Linked DNA regions of Stegostoma tigrinum. The protein of the gene in region 2 purifies or fractionates together with the protein of the main gene of each other region. This does not show direct contact. Links are inferred from orthologs where the notes say so. Each region holds a gene or a part of one and is shown on either strand. Other genes may lie near its edges. The genes, in order: racgap1, shcbp1 and kif23.

Evidence for each region.
Region 1: the proteins of shcbp1 (region 2) and racgap1 purify together in Homo sapiens (affinity purification with mass spectrometry; 8 studies listed by BioGRID and IntAct, counting the BioPlex papers as one, with this or other methods). This does not show direct contact. The link is inferred for Stegostoma tigrinum from reciprocal best matches to the Homo sapiens genes SHCBP1 and RACGAP1.
Region 3: the proteins of shcbp1 (region 2) and kif23 purify together in Homo sapiens (affinity purification with western blotting; 9 studies listed by BioGRID and IntAct, with this or other methods). This does not show direct contact. The link is inferred for Stegostoma tigrinum from reciprocal best matches to the Homo sapiens genes SHCBP1 and KIF23.

Annotation. Positions count from the first base shown.
Region 1 is NC_081404.1:14,134,155-14,141,649, reverse strand, and holds the start of racgap1 (rac GTPase-activating protein 1), read left to right. Parts: upstream 1-4,446; 5' UTR 4,447-4,457; coding exon 4,458-4,663; intron 4,664-6,610; coding exon 6,611-6,699; intron 6,700-7,495.
Region 2 is NC_081369.1:30,843,529-30,850,501, forward strand, and holds the start of shcbp1 (SHC SH2 domain-binding protein 1), read left to right. Parts: upstream 1-3,923; 5' UTR 3,924-4,050; coding exon 4,051-4,105; intron 4,106-5,140; coding exon 5,141-5,284; intron 5,285-6,973. UniProt on the Homo sapiens protein: May play a role in signaling pathways governing cellular proliferation, cell growth and differentiation. May be a component of a novel signaling pathway downstream of Shc. Acts as a positive regulator of FGF signaling in neural progenitor cells.
Region 3 is NC_081386.1:31,623,462-31,630,959, forward strand, and holds the start of kif23 (kinesin-like protein KIF23), read left to right. Parts: upstream 1-4,489; 5' UTR 4,490-4,587; coding exon 4,588-4,598; intron 4,599-7,498.

The DNA.
Region 1 (7,495 bases), on a different chromosome or scaffold from region 2:
AAACGAGTTTTTGTGCTCCTAAGATGCTGCTTGGCCTGCTGTGTTCATCCAGCTCTACACTTTGTTATCTAGGATAGTGGGACTTGCCTTTGAGAAGAAATTGAGGAGACTGAACCTGCGTACTCGGGAGTTTAGAAGAATGAGGCAATCTCACAAATCTACAAAATTATTAAAAGAGATAGAAAGATTACATACAGAGACGCCGTTTCCCCTGGCTGTGGGGTCTAGAACCAGAGAAGGTTGTCTCAGAATAAAAAGCAAATCGTTTAGGAGCGAGATGATTTTTAATTACTAATGATATCATGGGAGGAGTATAATTCAAGTATCTGGCATTATTGTAGATGCTAAGCCATGAGTAGGCATCGGGGTCTGAGACGGCTTATTCGTGCTTTATCTTGCTATGATAAAGCATACCATGAGCGGAGTGTAGGTGAGAAAGCAAGCTATCCTTTACTTAGAAAAGACTCCTGCTCTTATATGGAAGCCCATCGCTAATGTCAAGAAAGCTAACAGGTTATAGTTCAACACCAGCATCTCCACATCAGGAAAGCTAACGACAGGAATATTATCCGAATATGAGTCAGACCAGCCAGAATGCAGTTGTGTCGAGAGATAATAAAGGCACGGGTGAAGGTTTTAGCTGCAGATGACCAACTTCGTTCCTGCCTCAGCCTAATGTTCCAGCTAATTATGGATATACAAAGGTTGCCAATCTAGATCCAAGTTGCATAAAGAAATGGTAGCCATGATACAACAGTAACAAATTATTGTCAAACCTTTCTCGACTGTCTGGTTAAAATCTTTAAGGTTTGTGCCCCTTTTCATTGGGTAGGTGAGATAAGACAAGTCGAACCAAGCCAGCAGGGTGACATGACTAGAACATTTCCAATCGGCCAATGAGGGAATCGACTTCTTTGCAAGGAGACGGGAGCGATCCCACCCCCGCCCTCAATACCTTCGAGATGATGGGAACTGCAGATGCTGGAGATTCCAAGATAATAAAATGTGAGGCTGGACGAACACAGCAGGCCAAGCAGCGTCTCAGGAGCACAAAAGCTGACGTTTCGGGCCTAGACCCTTCATCAGAGAGGGGGATGGGGGGAGGGAACTGGAATAAATAGGGAGAGAGGGGGAGGCGGACCGAAGATGGAGAGTAAAGAAGATAGGTGGAGAGAGTGTAGGTGGGGAGGTAGGGAGGGGATAGGTCAGTCCAGGGAAGACGGACAGGTCAAGGAGGTGGGATGAGGTTAGTAGGTAGCGGGGGGTGCGGCTTGGGGTGGGAGGAAGGGATGGGTGAGAGGAAGAACCGGTTAGGGAGGCAGAGACAGGTTGGACTGGTTTTGGGATGCAATGGGTGGGGGGGAAGAGCTGGGCTGGTTGTGTGGTGCAGTGGGGGGAGGGGACGAACTGGGCTGGTTGAGGGATGCAGTCGGGGAAGGGGAGATTTTGAAGCTGGTGAAGTCCACATTGATACCATATGGCTGCAGGGTTCCCAGGCGGAATATGAGTTGCTGTTCCTGCAACCTTCGGGTGGCATCATTGTGGCAGTGCAGGAGGCCCATGATGGACATGTCATCAAGAGAATGGGAGGGGGAGTGGAAATGGTTTGCGACTGGGAGGTGCAGTTGTTTTTTGCGAACTGAGCGGAGGTGTTCTGCAAAGCGGTCCCCAAGCCTCCGCTTGGTTTCCCCAATGTAGAGGAAGCCGCACCGGGTACAGTGGATGCAGTATACCACATTGGCAGATGTGCAGGTGAACCTCTGCTTGATGTGGAATGTCATCTTGGGGCCTGGGATGGGGGTGAGGGAGGAGGTGTGGGGACAAGTGTGGCATTTCCTGCGGTTGCAGGGGAAGGTGCCGGGTGTGGTGGGGTTGGAGGGCAGTGTGGAGCGAACAAGGGAGTCACGGAGAGAGTGGTCTCTCCGGAAAGCAGACAGGGGAGGGGATGGAAAAATGTCTTGGGTGGTGGGGTCGGATTGTAAATGGCGGAAGTGTCGGAGGATAATGCGTTGTATCCAGAGGTTGGTAGGGTGGTGTGTGAGAACGAGGGGGATCCTCTTGAGGCGGTTGTGGCGGGGGCGGGGTGTGAGGGATGTGTCGCGGGAAATGTGGGAGACGCGGTCAAGGGCGTTCTCGATCACCGTGGGGGGAAAGTTGCGGTCCTTAAAGAACTTGGACATCTGGGATGTGCGGGAGTGGAATGTCTTGTCGTGGGAGCAGATGCGGCGGAGGCGGAGGAATTGGGAATAGGGGATGGAATTTTTGCAGGAGGGTGGGTGGGAGGAGGTGTATTCTAGGTAGCTGTGGGAGTCGGTGGGCTTGAAATGGACATCAGTTACAAGCTGGTTGCCTGAGATGGAGACTGAGAGGTCCAGGAAGGTGAGGGATGTGCTGGAGATGGCCCAGGTGAACTGAAGGTTGGGTTGGAAGGTGTTGGTGAAGTGGATGAACTGTTCGAGCTCCTCTGGGGAGCAAGAGGCGGCGCCGATACAGTCATCAATCCTCCACCGACACTCTCATCCGCCTAGCTGAACTCGTCCTCACACTCAACAACTTCTCTTTTGACTCCTCCCACTTCCTACAGACTAAGGGGGTGGCCATGGGCACCCGCATGGGCCCCAGCTATGCCTGCCTCTTTGTAGGTTACGTGGAACAGTCCCTCTTCCGCACCTACACAGGCCCCAAACCCCACCTCTTCCTCCGGTACATTGATGACTGTAACGGCGCCGCCTCTTGCTCCCCAGAGGAGCTCGAACAGTTCATCCACTTCACCAACACCTTCCAACCCAACCTTCAGCTCACCTGGGCCATCTCCAGCACATCCCTCACCTTCCTGGACCTCTCAGTCTCCAACTCAGGCAACCAGCTTGTAACTGATGTCCATTTCAAGCCCACCGACTCACACAGCTACCTAGAATACACCTCCTCCCACCCACCCTCCTGCAAAAATTCCATCCCCTATTCCCAATTCCTCCGCCTCCGCCGCATCTGCTCCCACGACAAGACATTCCACTCCCGCACATCCCAGATGTCCAAGTTCTTTAAGGACCGCAACTTTCCCCCCACGGTGATCGAGAACGCCCTTGACCGCGTCTCCCACATTTCCCGCGACACATCCCTCACACCCCGCCCCCGCCACAACCGCCCCAAGAGGATCCCCCTCGTTCTCACACACCACCCTACCAACCTCCGGATACAACGCATTATCCTCCGACACTTCTGCCATTTACAATCCGACCCCACCACCCAAGACAATTTTCCATCCCCTCCCCTGTCTGCTTTCCGGAGAGACCACTCTCTCCGTGACTCCCTTGTTCGCTCCACACTGCCCTCCAACCCCACCACACCCGGCACCTTCCCCTGCAACCGCAGGAAATGCCACACTTGTCCCCACACCTCCTCCCTCACCCCTATCCCAGGCACCAAGATGACATTCCACATCAAGCAGAGGTTCACCTGCACATCTGCCAATGTGGTATACTGCATCCACTGTACCCGGTGCGGCTTCCTCTACATTGGGGAAACCAAGCGGAGGCTTGGGGACTGCTTTGCAGAACACCTCCGCTCAGTTCGCAACAAACAACTGCACCTCCCAGTCGCAAACCATTTCCACTCCCCCTCCCATTCTCTAGATGACATGTCCATCATGGGCCTCCTGCAGTGCCACAATGATGCCACCCGAAGGTTGCAGGAACAGCAACTCATATTCCGCCTGGGAACCCTGCAGCCATATGGTATCAATGTGGACTTCACCAGCTTCAAAATCTCCCCTTCCCCCACCGCATCCCTAAATCAGCCCAGTTCGTCCCCTCCCCCCACTTCACCACACAACCAGCCCAGCTCTTCCCCCCCACCCACTGCATCCCAAAACCAGTCCAACCTGTCTCTGCCTCCCTAACCTGTTCTTCCTCTCACCCATCCCTTCCTCCCACCCCAAGCCGCACCCCCAGCTACCTACTAACCTCATCCCACCTCCTTGACCTGTCCGTCTTCCCTGGACTGACCTATCCCCTCCCTACCTCCCCACCTACACTCTCTCCACCTATCTTCTTTACTCTCCATCTTCGGTCCGCCTCCCCCTCTCTCCCTATTTATTCCAGTTCCCTCCCCCCATCCCCCTCTCTGATGAAGGGTCTAGGCCCGAAACGTCAGCTTTTGTGCTCCTGAGATGCTGCTTGGCCTGCTGTGTTCATCCAGCCTCACATTTTATTATCTCAATACCTTCGATGCGTGATTGCGTCATTGGGGCGTACGTGGCACGTCAGGAGACCGTATCCTGATTGGCGGTTGAAGCAAATTTGAAATCAGGCCGCGAAAACGTCTGGAGTAACGGAGCCGGAACCAGGTGGAGAGCGGCGGACAAAGCGGTAAGGGCTCCTGGGGGAAAATGGGTCGGGAATCTAGAGATTGTTTTTGCTCTCCCCTCTTGAGATCGGTGCCGTTCCCCCGATAGCGGGATGTTGTTGATTTTAAGTTGGGTGGGCGATGGTAGTCGGGCTCCTGGGCCCCGTGGAAAAGCGGGAAGTGTCGTTCGTCTCCTTCCAGGATCTCCGCGATCAGAGAAAAGGCGAGCCCTTTGTGGTGATCGAGATATGTGCTGGGCCCTCGAGTGTATTAAAAATGTCTGTATAGCACTAGGCCATTGGCTACTTGATAAAGCCAGGTATTTCTCTCGCCTTCCCCATCTGTAGAATGTCCTAAAGTGCTTCACAGTAAAGAATGAACGTTTTCAACCGTAATTACTGCTGTAGTATAGGAAACACTGCGGCTAAATTGCACACAGCAATCTCCCGCAAACAGAAATGTGGAAATGAACCCAGATAATTGTCTTTTGTTATGTTAGTTTGAGGTACAAATATTTGCCAGGACACCAGAGGACTTCCCAGTTCGGTCACAGAGTGCCTCAGGATCGTCATGCAACCAAGCTAATAAGAACTGCAGATGCTGGAGAATCTGAGATAACAAGGTGTAGAGCTGGATGAACACAGCAGGCCAAACAGCATCAGAGGAACAGGAAAACTGACGTTTTGAGCCTCGATCCTTCATCAGAAATGGGTCTAGGCCTGAAATGTCAGCTTTCCTGCTCCTAAGATGCTGCTTGACCTGCTGTGTTCATCCAGCTCTACACATTATTATGTTGCATCCACACCAGTTTAATGTCTCATCCAAAAGACAGCACTTCTCTGACAGTGCAGCACTGCATTGGGAGTACCAGTTTAGATCTTGGTATTCAATTCTCTGATGTGGGAATTGAAACCAAGAGTGCTACTAATTGTTTTGTTAATTGCAGTAATATAGCTGTCAACCTTGTGTGTTGATGGATCTGCAGGCAAGAAATGCTGACTGGGTTGAGAAATGGAAAGACTTTCTTTCCACCCAGAGAAAGTGTAATGTGTTAACTTTAATGTTATGTGGTTCACTCTTGTAGCTTCAATGAAGTAATTTCAATTCATAGCACTGATTTTTAACCCCCTCACTGCAATCCTGATGCTGTACATTTCTGGTCTTGCATAGAGTGCTCTGTGTACTTGAATGGGATGTAGTTAGATATCAGCATTTATTGCTTCAGCAATAGCTTTTTATAAAGTTTTTGTTCAATTTGAGTTGGAGAGGCGCAAGATTCAAAAACAGAAATTTTAGTACTTTGAAGTGAATGGTTTCCCCATCTGTTAATGCTATAAGTTGCAACACATTGTGTCGTTAGAACTTGGATTTTAAACACTTAATAGGTCTGCAATACTTAATGTGACTGCCTCATCAAATTTGAGGGTTGTTTAAGCAATCTCTTGCGAATGCAGTTATTTTTGGAACAAATATTATTGTCAAAAATCTCTGTGGAATGACTTCGAAATCAAGGAGCTGCTGCTGCAGCACTGTTTTTATATTGCTGGAGGCCTTTTGGCTGCGATATGTCACTGAGATTCTTCAGTTTGTTTTAGTTGCTTCATTTAAATTCCATGGAAATTTTAGTCCTTAAACTGTTATCAGTTATAATTGGACATGATTTAGTTTAATAAAGTATTGTTTTTGTCACTATTTGCATCAAGCTGTCTTTAACACTGACTGGTAAAATCATGACATGCTCAGAATTTCCACGAAGTAAATATTAATAGTAAATTTTGTGCTGTTGAGTGATTGTTGGCATTGTGCTACTGTGTTTCTTTAAAAACCCTTCAGCTCTTGTCTTTTGCTGTGAATTAATACTGAGCTGGGATTTTTGAAATTGAGCTGGTGACGAGCCTGATCTCCATCTTTGGGCTGATGGCCATTTTATGATTTTTGTTTTAAAGCATCATCGGTAGGTTTATTCCTGCAAACATGCACACGATACCTTTTTTGTGACTTTGAGCCAACTGTTCATTCCTAGCAGATATCGGTGTGGGCAGAACATTGACCCTCACCTGAAGTAACTGTAGGACTAAAATTGAGTTGGTTGAAAATTACATTTTGGAGTAATTTGAATCTTCTCCTGGTTTTTCTCCCCATACAAGTCCAGTGTGTGAATATTGCAAGACAATATTGCACCAAGAATCTTGGTTTAAAACAGAGATGTGTGGAAGCTGTCACTTGTAGTTCCCTTGCTTTTCTTATGCATTAATCTCTTTTATAGGAAAATGGAATCTGCCATGGTCACTCTACGCAACATGTTCGAGCAGTTGCTCAGACAGATGGAAGTACTGAATGAAGGAATTGAACCTCGTAAGCATTTTTAGCTTTGCTAATGTTGGGGTATGGCCATGATCAGTGATGTTATTCATCTAGATTTCTGTGAGATACTTTGAATTTTAGTTTTCAGTATATTTGTATAAAACTGGGAGATAGGATACCAAAGCTGGCTTGGTGAGCTGTAAAACTGCATCATGAAGCTTTGCAGATCAACCAAAATATTTGGACTACCAAAGTAATTCATTAATTTTCAAGCACAAAGATTCAATTGTTTGTATTTCTGCCAGTACAATATGCTGACTCTTTTTGACTTTACCCAATGGGACTAAGAGAACCACTGACTTTGTATTAAATTATATTAAATATTAATAATTTGTCTGCCTGTGATTCCACTGTGCTTTGTATATTGATTCAATAGTTAATGTATGTGCATTTTCACTCACTGTTGAGCTTTTGTGTTGAATCTATTATCTTCTCTATACCTCCCATCACCACCCCCCCCCCCACATCATGTATATGTTCTGCCTCAAGCTGATCTCTCATTTTTCAATGTGTCAGTTTTGTAAGCATTTCAATCTCATTCCGCTTTGTCTCAGTATCAATTATAATCCACACTGCTCAAGTTTCTCCCCCTCAAATTTCTTGAGTCCTGGTGGTTTGAGTGGATCTGTTCACTATGTGCTACTTTGTGTCTAACCATTAATACCGGTGAACAAGTCTGACATGAAGAATAGCCCTTTTTAAAGCAGCTAGACCTGGGAAACTTGAAGAGAGAGCAGCAGAATTTGAAGTATAAACTCAATTTGGAAATTAGTCACTCTGGGTGTCA
Region 2 (6,973 bases):
TTACCAGAGAGGTCAATATCTTGTGGGGGGATAGCTTAAAGTAATTCATGAGAAGATTAGAGGAAGTTGAGGAGAAATCTTTTTGATCAGAGGATGATGGGTGTCTGGAACTAATTTTCAAGAAAGGGTGGTAGAGGCAGAAACTCTCGTTGTATTTAAAGAGTATGTGGATATGTACTCACAGTTGGTATCTGAGAGTAGCCTTGACAGTACTTTTTCTGGCACAAACATGATGGGCTGAATGATTTTCTTCTGTGCCATAAATTTCTATGATTCATTAGTTCAACAAATATAAAACTGCCTCCCAGAACTTTGGAAATACTATCCAAAGCATAATCTGATTTGCTTTTACCATCATGGATTCATCAGGAAACAATACATTGACCTGTTTTATGAGCTTTATTTTAGACACATTTCAGTTTGAAGGTCCAGCTGTTGTCTGAGCTGGAGGTTGGAATAATCCACCTATTTAAAATACAAAGACAGTAATAAGTTTAGCCCATGTATAAATGGTGGCTGCCCAGATTTACATTCCTAATTCTGTTAGTACTTCTCCAATCACTTCTTTTGAGACTACGATTGTTCCCCTTTGAGGCACTAACGCAGAGACATTTGATCCAATCATCATCTTCTCAACCAATAATGGTCTAAAGTATTTGAGATTTGTAGCTCGGGTTGTGGATGAGGTTGTAGACTTGCTCACCAAGTCTTGGTGTATTTGATTGCAGACATTTCGTCACCCTACTAGGTAACATCGTCAGTGCACCTCTGGTGAAGCATTGGTGTTCTGTCCTGCTTGTTATTCATAGGTTTGCTAAGATGGTTGGCATCACTTCTGGTTCTGTTTTTCAGTAGTTTATAAATTGGATCCAGTTCAATGTGTTTGTTGATGGTGTTCCAGTTGGAATGCCAAGCCTCCAGGAATTCTCCAGCATATCTCTGTTCGGCTTGTACTGTTATCAATGTGTTGTCCCAGTTGAATCTGTGTTCTTTGTCTGTGTGTATTGAGACCAGTGAGAATTGGTTGTGTCTGTTAGTAGCTAGTTGATGCTAGTGTATCCTTATTGTCAGTTTTCTTCCAGTGTGGCACATGTAGTGTTTCTCACAGTCGTTGCATGGTATTCTGTATATTACATCAGTTCTAATAGTTGTGGGTATGGGATCCTTTTCGTTCATCAGAAGCTGTCGCAGGGTGGTTATTGATTTGCTGGCTGCTCTGATATCTAGGGGTATGAGTAGTCTTGTGGTCATCACTGATATGCCCCTGATGCATGGTAGGGTGACTAGTGTGTTCGGTCGTGTTGTGTCTCCTTGTTGTAGTCTGCTGCGGAGATAATGGTGGATTGTGACTTGTATAAAGAAAGACCACACATACAGACCAGATACCTAATTACAACGACTCCAACACTCAAACGGAGTTGCATCAGGACATTATTCAAATAAGCCACAACACACTGTAGCAACCTGGAATTGCACAAATTGGAACAGGGCACTTATACGGAGTTTTTAAAAAGAATGGATATCCAAAAAGTACAACTCGCTATTACCTCCACGGATGATCACAACAAAAGGACACAACATGGCCAGACACACTTGTCACCCTAGTGTACATCAGGGACATGTCAGAGATGACCATAAGACTTCTCAGACCCCTAGGTATCAGGTAGCCCACAAACCAACAACCACCCTGCGACACCCCAGCAACGTAAAGGATCCCTTACCCGAAACCATTGAAACTAATATAATACAAAATACTCTCCAAGGACTAGAGAAACATTACATAGGCCAAACTGGAAGGAAACTGACAATAAGGATACATGAACACCAATGAGTCACCAAGAGACACGACCAATTCTCATTGGCCCGAATACACGTGGACAAAGAAGGACATGAATTCAACTGGGACAACACATCAATAGTAGCACATGATAAACAGAGACATGCCAGGAAATTCCTGGAGGCCTGGTATTCCAACCAGAACTCCAGCAACAAACACATTGAACTGAACCTGATATACAAACCACTGAAAAACAGAACCAGAAGTGAAGCCAAACAGCCCAGCAAACTGAGGCACATAAATAACAAGTGGGACGGAACACCAATGCTTCATCAGAGGTGCACTGATGATGTTACCTAGCAGGGTGACAAAACGTTTGCAATCAAACACGCTGGCTCGGCAAGCAAGTCTACAAACTCAATGTAGGTATATCCTTAGGATAAGTAATTTTCACTCAAAAATGTTAGTTTTTGTGAGCACAGAGATTAATGGATACATGTGTCATTTTCAAACTAACTTTTATATTTTGTAAATGGTTTGTGGCACTGGGAATGGAAGATTTGAGTTATAAAGATAGGCTAGGACATTTTTCACTGGAGCATTGGGGATTGAGGGGTGACCTTATTGAAGTTTATAAAATCATGAAGGGTGTAGAAAAAGTATGTAGAAAGTGTCTTTTCCCTACAATGGGGGAATTCAAAACCAGGGGTGTATTTTTCAGGAAAGAGGAGAAGGATTTAAAAAGAAAATGAGGGTGACATTTTTTACACAGAGTAGTTTGTGAAACGAACTGCCAGAGAAAGTGGTGGATGCAGGTAGAGTTACTAGTTAAAAGACATTTGGATAAGTACATAAATAGGAATGGTTTGGAGGGATGACAAGGTGTAGAACTGCATGAACATTGCAGGCCAAGCAGCATCAGAGGAACAGGAAAGCTGTTGTTTCGGGCCGAGAGGGATATGGGCCGAATGCAGGCAAGTGAGATCAGTTTAATTTGGGAAACTTGGTTGGCATGGACAAGTTGGACTGAAAGGCCTATTTCCAAGCTGTATGACACTACGACTCTACAACTTACCCATATATTGATAATTAGAAGTGTTTTTTAATATTGTGTATGTATATGGAATTTGCAAAATACGTGTCCTTCACCTTGTGTGATCATGGCATTGTTTTGCTCAAAGAAACTGTAAGTTGAAAAGGCAACATAAAACCTACTGAAACTGCAGAAGATATAAAATGAAGACTCCTTTTTTTTAAAAAAAAGTCTTTGGATATAGTTGACACTGTGGCAGAGTTTATTTTCCATTATTTTTTGTTCTTGAAATGTGGTGGTTTGCCTTATCTTTCAAGTCCTGTAATGTCTCCACTATGCTCTGAAATAAGAATTTCTAGGATATTGGCCCAGCCGCAATGAGAAATGGTGATATACAAAATCAGAAGGACATGTGACTCTGAGGTCAACTTAGAAATAATGGTGTTCAAACACAATTGTTCTCAGGACATTAAAAAAAACTGGAATGTGCCTTTTGATTCCTTTTGCCTGTTTTGCCATTCATAAAGATCCTGGCTGATTTTCATGTCTGATTGTAGTGTCCCACACTGACCCCATCTCTCTTAATTCCCCCAGTATTTAAAAGAAAATTCTTTATTTACTGAACGCTTGGTACTCAAATCTCTCGAATTCCTAAGATTCTTAACTCTGAGTGGAAAAATTCTCATCAATTGCTGCTACTTTATTCTGAGACTCCAAATCTCAGTTCCAGACTGAGACGTCAAAGCCAGAAAAATATCATCTCAGCATCAAACCCCTTTGAAATATTATATAATTTAATGAGTTCATATTGCATTCTTTTAAATTGGAGGGAGAAGAGTTAATCTATTCGATCTTACACTAGTAAGTGTCACTTACTTTGTTGTACTCCATGACTTTCTGTCACTTCTGACTGGATGCCTGGGCATGGGCTGTCACTCCTCCCGGCTTTTGGGATGCTGTCACTCCTCCTTGCCGTGGAGGCGCTGTCACACCTTCTGGCTTTGAGGTTGCGATCGCTTCTCCAGTTTGCAGCCTGCTGATACTCTTCCTGGCCGCACGGGACACTGTGTTGATACTCTCGGTCAGCTGCCGCTCTTGCCGCCAGCACAACCAATTAAGAAAAACAAGCGGCAGAATTTGAATTGGGAGCTCGTTGTAACTGTCAGAGGAGACTAGGCCTGCGGTTACTATCGGCATCGGCATCGGCCTCGGCCTCGGGGAGTTAGGCTCGATACACGGAATGGTCGAGGCAGCAATAGTGGTGGCGCTGGCGGATCCGACGGTACCCGGAGAAGGTGAGGGCGGGAGGAGTAGACCTCGACACCCCCGACCCGGGCTCTCTGCACCGGGAGGAGGGCACAGCTGCCCTATTCTCCGTCCCTTGGTGTTTTCTTGTTATATTTGTTCCTTGGGATATTGAAGTGAATGTATTTATTCCCATCCCTTGACATCCTAAAGAGTAAAATGTGTGCATTGACGGTGTAATGGTGTCTAGCAGGGTTGGGTCAGGGTTCAGGTTCCCCAGCCTGAAGGCTTCTATCAACAAATTAGACAGTTACAAACCCTGTAAGTTTCGTGCTCGTTATATGGTGCTAGCCTCTAAACTACCATATTTTAAAAATTCAAGTTCACAACTTGTCTGACAGGATTTGAACTGTCAATAGCTCAATGGCGCAGTTCTGTAGCTCAAGGAAACCATATTTTTTGCAATAATAACTGTAGGAATGTTACATATAATGCTTTACACTCTTTATAAACAATTGTGTATTTTGATGATTTTTTTCAAATATTGTTCTGTTCTTGAAAGCCCTCACCAGCTCAAACTTGTGAATTATGGTCTGCAGTATTTTGCTAGTTGATCTTGTAAGGTTCAATCAGCTATTCTTCAAAGTAACTCTTATGCACTAAGAAGGGTCTAGGCCTGAAACGTCAGCTTTTGTGCTCCTAAGATGCTGCTTGGCCTGCTGTGTTCATCCAGCTCCACACTTTGTTATCTCTTATGCACTACCTGATTTGTTGCAAATTCTGTAGCTAAATACCATGAGAACAACCATATCGTAATATTGTATTTAAAACTGAAACTAGCTAAACAGGGCTTCTATTTGAGATAATGGGAACTGCAAATGCTGGAGAATCCAAGACAACAAATTGTGGAGCTGGATGAAGACAGCTGGCCAAGCAGCATCTTAGGAACATATGCTTCTAAGATGGTGCTTGGCCTGCTGTGTTCATCCAGCTCCACACTTTGTTATCAGGGCTTCTGTTTGAATTGTGTAGGAATTGTGCTTGACAACAAATGTTATTCATTTTATATCTGACTGTATTTCAAGATCAAGTGGAAATTAAGGGCAGTCATGACAGCCCTGAAAAGGAGAATTTGTTGAATCCCGGAGCAACCAAATTTCCGGAAGTTATTGAGACAACTCACCTCACCTATTATGAGCGATACAGGGCCTACCAGGATTACATCTTGGGTTAGTTTTTTTTAAAAAATAATGTTTCTAAATATAATTATATATTGCTATAAGTAGAATAGAATGATAGTGATATTGTAACATAAATCCAGATCTTGAAAATGAGAAGTTTAGAAAATGCAGACGCTCAAAAATATTTAGCTTTGGTAATAGAATTAATACATGCACAGGGATACAAGCCAGGCTAGAGATGGCAGAATGATTTTCCACTGGCAGTTTAGTAACAGTACATAGAGGCTTCAAAGTGACATCTGATAAAAGGAAGTAACAAGCTAGTAGGAATTTGGCACAGGTTTCATCTTGCAGTCATTGCAAGAGCGAGCATGGTGTAACAGAGTGGTTGGAGCAGCAAGAGCAGTAGCATATAAAGCCAAGAAGAGGAAAAGGACCCAGAATTGTGGAGGCATTCCATCAGGCCCTTGGCACTAGAACAGAAAAATATGTTGGTGGGGAAAATGTCATTGTAAGCTGACTGACCACCTCCATTGCCCCCCTCTAAGGATTTGGAGCCCTTCTTGAAGAGGTGAAGTAGAGTGAGACGTTAAAGCAGAGGTGGCAGGGTGCCGTCATCAGGCCAATAAACAGAAAAGTGCAGAGGACCCCACACACACAGCCTTCTGTGTAAAGAAGAGGCTACAGCTTCAAAAAGGTCTACCATCTGTGGCTTAATTATGTTTGGATGTTGGAGAACCAGTGCCTCTGCAGATTGTGCCACTTCGGGGAGGCTGTTGCTGGTGTCGCAACCTGTATGGTAAGCTTGTGCCTGTCGGAATTGGAACTACCTGTCAGTGGTGCTGACGATCACAATGGCATTTAACTTCTGTGTTACCAGGTCATTCCAGTTATCAACAGGAGATTGGTGTAAGATCTTGCCGTCTAAACTGCATCAATGCATCAAGATGGTCACCAAAACACTTTTGAGACCACTGCTTCCACACCAGTCCAGACATTCAAGCTGATAGACTCATTGCTGGATACCTCCAGTTGCACAATTTGAGTGACTGTGTGCAGATGACCCTCAAGGTGCTCGCCGAGCAGCAAGCTGCCTTTTTAACATGAAGGCTTCCAGCGTCTTGATTGTAAAACTGTGATCACTATGAAAGGATCCTTTTGATGTGTGGATATTTCTTGGGAAGTAAGACCTACATGCTTCAGCAGCTCCAGGTGTCACAGCTTATCTGGTCCCTGCATGCCTTCAAGAATGGATACTGGGACATAGCTACTTACTCAGATGTGGAATCGCACATCTATTGCTGAGGGAAAGTACAACAAACTGTGGGGTAACTGGAGAGAACATCAAAAGGACTTCTAAAGAAGTAGTTCAGATGCCTTGATTGATTTGGTGGAGTCTTTCAGAATGCCACGTTACGTAAATCATTCAGTGTCCTGGCTCTTTGTCCACAGTACAAAAGCTGCTGTAGAAAGGGAGGAAGTGTTGAGCAATAAGGATCTCATGGATTGTAGTTCCTTCATTGCAAGGTATTCGACTCTGGGGACCACAGGCAATGTGAAGTAAGATGTGTTTGAGAAATTCAGTCCTCCTAATCTGATGGGTCTAAAGTTTTACCTTTCTTCAGCCCAGTTGCGGCCCATTTTCTGTTACTGCGCCCTAGTGCTCATTGTATATCAGCATTTAGTACATATGACATAGTCTGTCTCTTTAGAGGGAGAGAGAGAGGGGTTCACAGA
Region 3 (7,498 bases), on a different chromosome or scaffold from region 2:
CGGAAGCTTGTGATTTCAAATAAACCTGTTGGACTATAACCTGGTGTCGTATGATTTCTGACAAAACTACCTCGGCACAGCTTCTTTAGTTACAAGATTTTAGACAATACAGAAGTAAAACATCCAGCATTACAGAAAAGAGTTCAGTACAGCAGACCACGCTGACACTTTGCTTCCAGTCCACAAGGGGCCCTGGCTCCAACCTGCAGCAGTGACACGCCATGCCAAGAGGCCACTGTCCCAGAATTGCAACGTCACCACACCATACTGGGAGGCCCCTACAAGAGGAGGCCAATGCAGGAGGCTGGAAGTTCCCCACACCATGGAATGATGTTTCTATGGGAAGAAGCCACTGTGCCAGGCTGGGAGATTGCCATGCCATGCCTGGAGGCTGCTGTGGCAGGCCATTGTGCCAGGCCAGGAGTTGTTGCTTAAGGCCTGGAATCATCACCGGACACTGGTAATCATTACTGGAGGCTGGGAATTGCCGCTTGAGACTGGGAACCAACACTAGAGGCTGGGAATCATCACCAGAGGGGAATCGCTGCAGGGGGCTGGGAATCACCGCCAGAGGCTGGGGATCTTTCCTAATAACATGTTTCCTATAGCAGGGAGATCAGAATTGAATGCAGTTTTCCAAAATCTGGGAGTTGTCAGGCATCACTGGCTCTTGTACTTTGAACTCTGGCCATACATTTGGTCAAGCATTGGCAGTCTGGAATTGTCCTTCACTGTCAAACGGCACAATGACAAATTCTCACAGCATAGATTCAGCATGGCAGACACTGTATTGCACACTGCCACCCCAATCACTTGTTAAGGACCAACTACACACCTCATGGTCCATATCCACTTCCCATCTCACAACCTTCTGTAAATCACTGCTACTCCACCACAATTCCCATTGGAGCCCAGCATCTTATCATTGATCACTTTGAGGCTGGCACAGACAGATAAGCCTTCAAACATAATTTATGAATAACTTTTATACTTAAATCAAAAGTGCTCAGAATTGAAACAAGCACAGGCTTCATTTCCCTACTCACTACACAAACAAGCCACTGGCACCTTGAGCACCAAGTATATTATAGTCAGGGAGTGATCATTACACCCAGCTCACTCCTGCTGGGCCAGGTGTCAATCACGTTCTACCTGGCTTTGTGGCACCCATTGTGGCAGGGCTCGGCTTTGCGCAAGGCGATGTTCCATAAGTAGACAAAAAAATTGCTGGAAGAGCTCAGCAGGTCTGGCAGCACCTTCTGACAGAAATCAGAGTTAATGCTTTGGTTCCAGTGCCCCTTCCTCAGAACACATATTCCATATCAAATATTCCATAAGATGGAGCAGAAATAGGCCATTCAGCCCATTGAGTCTGCTCCTCCTTTGAATGAGATCATGGCTGACATGACAATCCTTGGCTCCACTTTCCTACCTTTACCCCGTAACCCTTGATTTCTTCACTGAATAAAAATCTATCTCAGCCTTGAATATAGTGAATGATGTAGCCTTGAAAGGCTTACTTCTGCTCCCAAACATGTCTCCTTCTACCCAGAGCAGTGGCTCATCAGCAATTTGCAAAGGTTATAACAGTGAAAGTAAACGGTGGGTTCCCAATTGATACCCAGAACCTTCAAACCGATTTTAAGGATAACGCAGCTCCTGAACCTATTCTCCCTTCACAAAGAGTCTCCAAATCTGGATGCCAGTCAGGGGCTGTGTCAAGTTGCCTCCAAAATGTCCACACTGGCTCCAACTCTCCCTGGGGACAGAAGGTCATGGCTTTAAAGCACATGGCAGAGACTCGAACAAATTATTCAGGCTGACACTTCCAGTGCAATGCTGAGCGAGAGCTACACATCAGAGATGCAGGATTTTGGATGAAACATTGAGCTGAGATCCTCAGAAGGGCATCAGATAAAAGATCCCATGGGCATGTTTTGAGGAGTAGTAGTGAGTTTTCCCTGGTCTCCTGGCCAATACCCAGCTCTCACATCAACATCACCGAAAGAACATTATCTCATCATTATTGCATTGCTGTCTGAGGAATCTTGTTGTGTGCAAAATGGTTGTCATGTTTCTTAAATTAGGTCAGTAATAAAAGTTTTAAAAATCCTCCCTTATATAACACTTTTTGAATGTCAAAGTCATGAAAGATATTGCTTAAATACCAGAATTTAAGAAAGCCTGGCTACGGCTGTTATATAGCAGGGTAGTGTTTTGTAGGATAGTCCAGTTAAGAATAAGGGGTCACACATTTAAGTCAGAGATAAGGAGGGATATCTTTTCTGAGACAGTAGAGAATCTGTGGAATTGTTTACCATAGAGGATTGTCAAGGTATATAAATAATTATATTAAAGGCTGAGATAGACAAATGTTTAATCAGTAAGGGTGTGGTGAAAAAGCAAGAAAGTAGAGTTGAGAATCATCAGATCAGCTATAATCTCATTGAATGATGAGCAGACTTGATAGGCTAAATGGCCTATTTCTGCTCCTGTATTTTACGTTCTATTTAAAAATCCCCATTACGTGAATTACGCTGCTATACCAGCAGCATCTGTTTGAGGGCACGTGTGAGCAGAGACTGTAAGCAGTTGATCATGTCACAATGACTTGAATGGTCCTTAATACCAATTGAGTGCAATCTGGAACGTCATTCCCTTGAAAGCGACAGGCCAAACAAACCTCAGGCAAATCAAAGCATATAGAAACATACATGTAGCTCTAAGGTTTTAGAGTAGATCTGTAGCTCAGGTTGTGTGTGTTGAGGTTGGTTGGCTCGCCGAGCTGGTTTGATGTTTCGCAGATGTTTCGTTACAGTGCTTGGTAACATCCTCAGTGCAGCCTCCGATGAAGCATCGGTGTGTTTTCCTGCCTGGTTTTTAAACTCTGGGGTCCGGTAAGATGGATTGCCTCACTTCCAGTTTTCCTTCATAGTGGAATGTATACGGGGTCGAGTTCAATGTGTTTATTAAGAGTCTGCTTCGTGGAGTGCCATGCTTCCAGGAATCCTCGTGCTTGTCTCTGCCTAGCCTGTCCCAGGATCTTGGTGTTGTCCCAGTCAAAGTCGTGGTTCTCCTTGTCCATGTGGATTAAGGTGAGTGATTATTGGTTGTGTCTTTTTGTAGCCAGTTGGTGTTCATGTATTCTTGCTGTTAGTTTCCTTCCTGTTTGTTTGATGTAGTGTTTCTCGTAGTCTCTGCAGGGGATCTTGCAGATGAAATTGGTCCTGTCCATGGCGGGGAGTGGATCTTTAGTTTGGATGAGCACTTGTCACAGGGTTAATGTAGGTTTGTGTGCCACTCTGATGCCCAGTGGTCGTAGAAGTCTTGTGGTGAGTTCTGATGTATTCCTCATGTAGGGGTAGTGTGATGAGTGTGTCGGGGCATGTAGAATCTTTCTGATGCTGTTCCTATAGGCATCTCCTGACCCAGTTCTTTGAATATCTATTATCCTTGAACACTTGGAAGAGGTATTCCTCCTCCTCCTGGCGTAGTGAAGCACTTACTTGCTTTTTCACCATACCCTATGACTGTATTAGTCCTGCCCTGATCTGCCTTTCCAAAATGTAGCACCTCACATTTATCTAAATTAAAGTTCATTTGCCAGTCCTCAGCCCATTGGCCCATCTGATCAAGGTCCCACTGTACTCTGAGGTAACCTCCTTCGCTGTGCACTACAGCTTCAATCTCATTAACCATACCTCCTATGTTCACATTCGAATCATTTATAGAAATGACAAAAAGCAGTGGACCCAGTACATTGGACCTCTCTGATGAAGGGTCTAGGCCCGAAACGTCAGCTTCTGTGCTCCTGAGATGCTGCTGGGCCTGCTGTGTTCATCCAGCCTCACATTTTATTATCTTGGATTCTCCAGTTCCCATTATCCCAGCACATTGCTGGTCACAAGCCTCCAGTCTATAGTTTTCTCATAACTATAGTTTCGTGATCCGAGCAACAATGGAGAAATCAAACAAGCTCTAGGTTAATGATAAACCTTGACACTAGTGACATTGACAGCTAGGAATACGCACGCGCCAGCTTTCCGCTGTGGCAATACGCATGCGCCAGCTTCCCCTCGCAAAAGCGGTGCGCATGCTTCAACTGTCCCCAGATAACAAAGTGTGCAGCTGGATGAACACAGCAGGCCCAGCAGCATCTCAGGAGCACAAAAGCTGTCGTTTCGGGCCCAGACCCTTCATCCCCAACTTCAACTGTCCCCACTCGGCTGCGGTGCGCATTCGCTCGCTCCCTCGGCTTGCAAGCCGTGGCGGCGCGCATGCGCAAATTCCGCCATGCCGATGAAGTCCGCTGAGTTCCCCTCGCAGCGATGCGCATGGGCTTGGCTGGCCCCTCCCCTTGGGCAGACCATGTACGGGAAGGGAACAAGTGCGCGTGCGCACCGGACCCGCGGCCTGATTGACAGGAGGATGGAGCCTGTCCAATGGGAGGTGGGGAGAGCCCGGGCCAATGGGAAAGGCGCGGGATTTGAATTGACGGCGGTTGGTGTCGGCGCGGAGGCAGAGCTGTAGCTGGAGCGGCTGCGGGAGGAGTATTGCCCCGCTGTCTGTTATAATTAAAAACTAACGATGAAAACAACGTGAGTATAGATTGTCAGGTTAAACTCCTCTCGATCGATTGATTTTAGATCACGCACTTCTAACCAGCTCTCGCGTTCTTCAACTTTATTCTTCTTTTGTCAGTCTCCATGAATGGCTCCTTTAAAGTTTGAAACTATTTTATTTCGCCCCCGGGGTGACCACTTCCAAGCAAAAAAAAATCATGAAAAATGTGACTTTTAATTGATTTTTGTTTTCAAATTGTACCATCTTAACCTCGTTCTTACTGTTGATGTGTAATGTTTCAATTTTTATTCTACTGATTTTTAAAAATATTTTTACCTACTCGGTAAATATTTTTAAAATTCTACTTGTTTTAAAGGATTGCTTTTATTTGTGACTATGGTCACAATTGGGATCTCTGAGCTGCAACAACAGCCTGCATTTATATTAGCAGCTTCTTAATGTGTTCATCTGTCCCGAGGTTCGTCAGTGTGTGTCATCCTGGTGTCCTCTGTTTTGAATCGTAGCTGAGTGTTTCACTTCCACACACACCCTGCTGACAAAAAAAAACCCTGCAGGTTCCTTTTGTTTTAAAAGCATGGAAAATCTGGACTAGTTCTGATATAGTAACTTGCATTTGTGCCGTATTTTGCATGTAGTGTCATTCCAAGATGATTCACAGAAATGTTAACTGGACAAAACTGTGCTTTAACAACCTCCAAGGAATTGAGTTTGGATGTCCACTTGATCACAGGTAGCTTTAAGCAAAGAATGTTTTAATGTGGGGAGAGAATGAGGTTAAGGCAGGGATTTCCAAGCCTTAGATTATAAAATTCAAAGTATGAAATAATGGGTCTAAAAGCAACTGGAATATTTTTCATTCTGGGTGCCTTGTTTTAGGTAAGATGTTAGGCTTACATGAAAAGTACCAGGGAAAGCACAGTTTGAAATGTTTTGAAAGATTAAATAATGAGAAACTTTTCCTGGCCCACCTAAGGTAGCTGGCATGATAACTAGAGGTGAAATGAGACAGTCTATGTTTTCATCAGATTTTAAGACAGTAGGTCTAAATGTTAAATTGAGCTCCACGCAATCAATGGTCTTGCAAAGAATGCTAGAGTCCTGTGATAGGTCAGACTTATTGATGTGTTACCTTATTTCTAGTAAATTGGCTTTTGTTGGCAGCACTGTATGCCTAAGAGGAGTTGATCTATTCTTGTGCAAAAAAAGGGCACCTCTAGCAGCCCACCGACTCCCACAGCTACCTAGAATACACCTCCTCCCACCCACCCTCCTGCAAAAATTCCATCCCCTATTCCCAATTCCTCCGCCTCCGCCGCATCTGCTCCCACGATAAGACATTCCACTCCCGCACATCCCAGATGTCCAAGTTCTTTAAGGACCGCAACTTTCCCCCCACAGTGATCGAGAACGCCCTTGACCGCGTCTCCCGTATTTCCCGCAAAACATCCCTCACACCCTGCCCCCGCCACAACCGCCCAAAGAGAATCCCCCTCGTTCTCACACACCACCCTACCAACCTCTGGATACAACGCATCATCCTCCGACACTTCCGCCATTTACAATCCGACCCCACCACCCAAGACATTTTTCCATCCCCACCCCGGTCTGCTTTCCGGAGAGACCACTCTCTCCGTGACTCCCTTGTTCGCTCCACACTGCCCTCCAACCCCACCACACCCGGCACCTTCCCCTGCAACCGCAGGAAATGCTACACTTGCCCCCACGCCTCCTCCCTCACCCCTATCCCAGGCCCCAAGATGACATTCCACATTAAGCAGAGGTTCACCTGCACATCTGCCAATGTGGTATACTGCATCCACTGTACCCGGTGCGGCATCCTCTACATTGGGGAAACCAAGCGGAGGCTTGGGGACCGCTTTGCAGAACACCTCCGCTCAGTTCGCAACAAACAACTGCACCTCCAGTCGCAAACCATTTCCACTCCCCCCTCCCATTCTCTAGATGACATGTCCATCATGGGCCTCCTGCAGTGCCACAATGATGCCACCCGAAGGTTGCATGAACAGCAACTCATATTCCGCCTGGGAACCCTGCAGCCTAATGGTATCAATGTGGACTTCACCAGTTTCAAAATCTCCCCTTCCCCTACTGCATCCCTAAACCAGCCCAGTTCGTCCCCTCCCCCCACTGCACCACACAACCAGCCCATCTCTCTCTCTCCCTCTCTCCTGCCCCGCCCCGCATCCCAAAACCAGTCCAACCTGTCTCTGCCTCCCTAACCGGTTCTTCCTCTCACCCATCCCTTCCTCCCACCCCAAGCCGCACCCCCATCTACCTACTAACCTCATCCCACCTCCTTGACCTGTCCGTCTTCCCTGGACTGACCTATCCCCTCCCTACCTCCCCACCTATACTCTCTCCACCTATCTTCTTTACTCTCCATCTTCGGTCCGCCTCCCCCTCTCCCCCTATTTATTCCAGTTCCCTCACCCCATCCCCCTCTCTGATGAAGGGTCTAGGCCCGAAACGTCAGCTTTTGTGCTCCTGAGATGCTGCTTGGCCTGCTGTGTTCATCCAGCCTCACATTTTATTATCTTGGAATTCTCCAGCATCTGCAGTTCCCATTATCTCTCACCTCTAGCAGTGAGAGCTGCACCAGAGTATCAGGCAGGATTTTTATACTCAAGTCCTGGAAGTAGGATTGTGAACCTGGAGCCTTATGATTCAGAAGTGAATGCTTCTAATTAAGCCAGAAATAACAACAAAAGTTGACACTGCCTCTTTGAACTGTGCCTCTAATTGTTTTGCAACTTAATGTTGTGTTCCAAATATCCTCTTTACTAAATGATGCTGTTGCTGCACTCCACTGACTTCTGTGGCAGTACTATGATATTAGCGTTAAGGCTGGCCTGGGATTCATTCAATAGTGTTGCTTTGTCACTGGAGCCCTGAG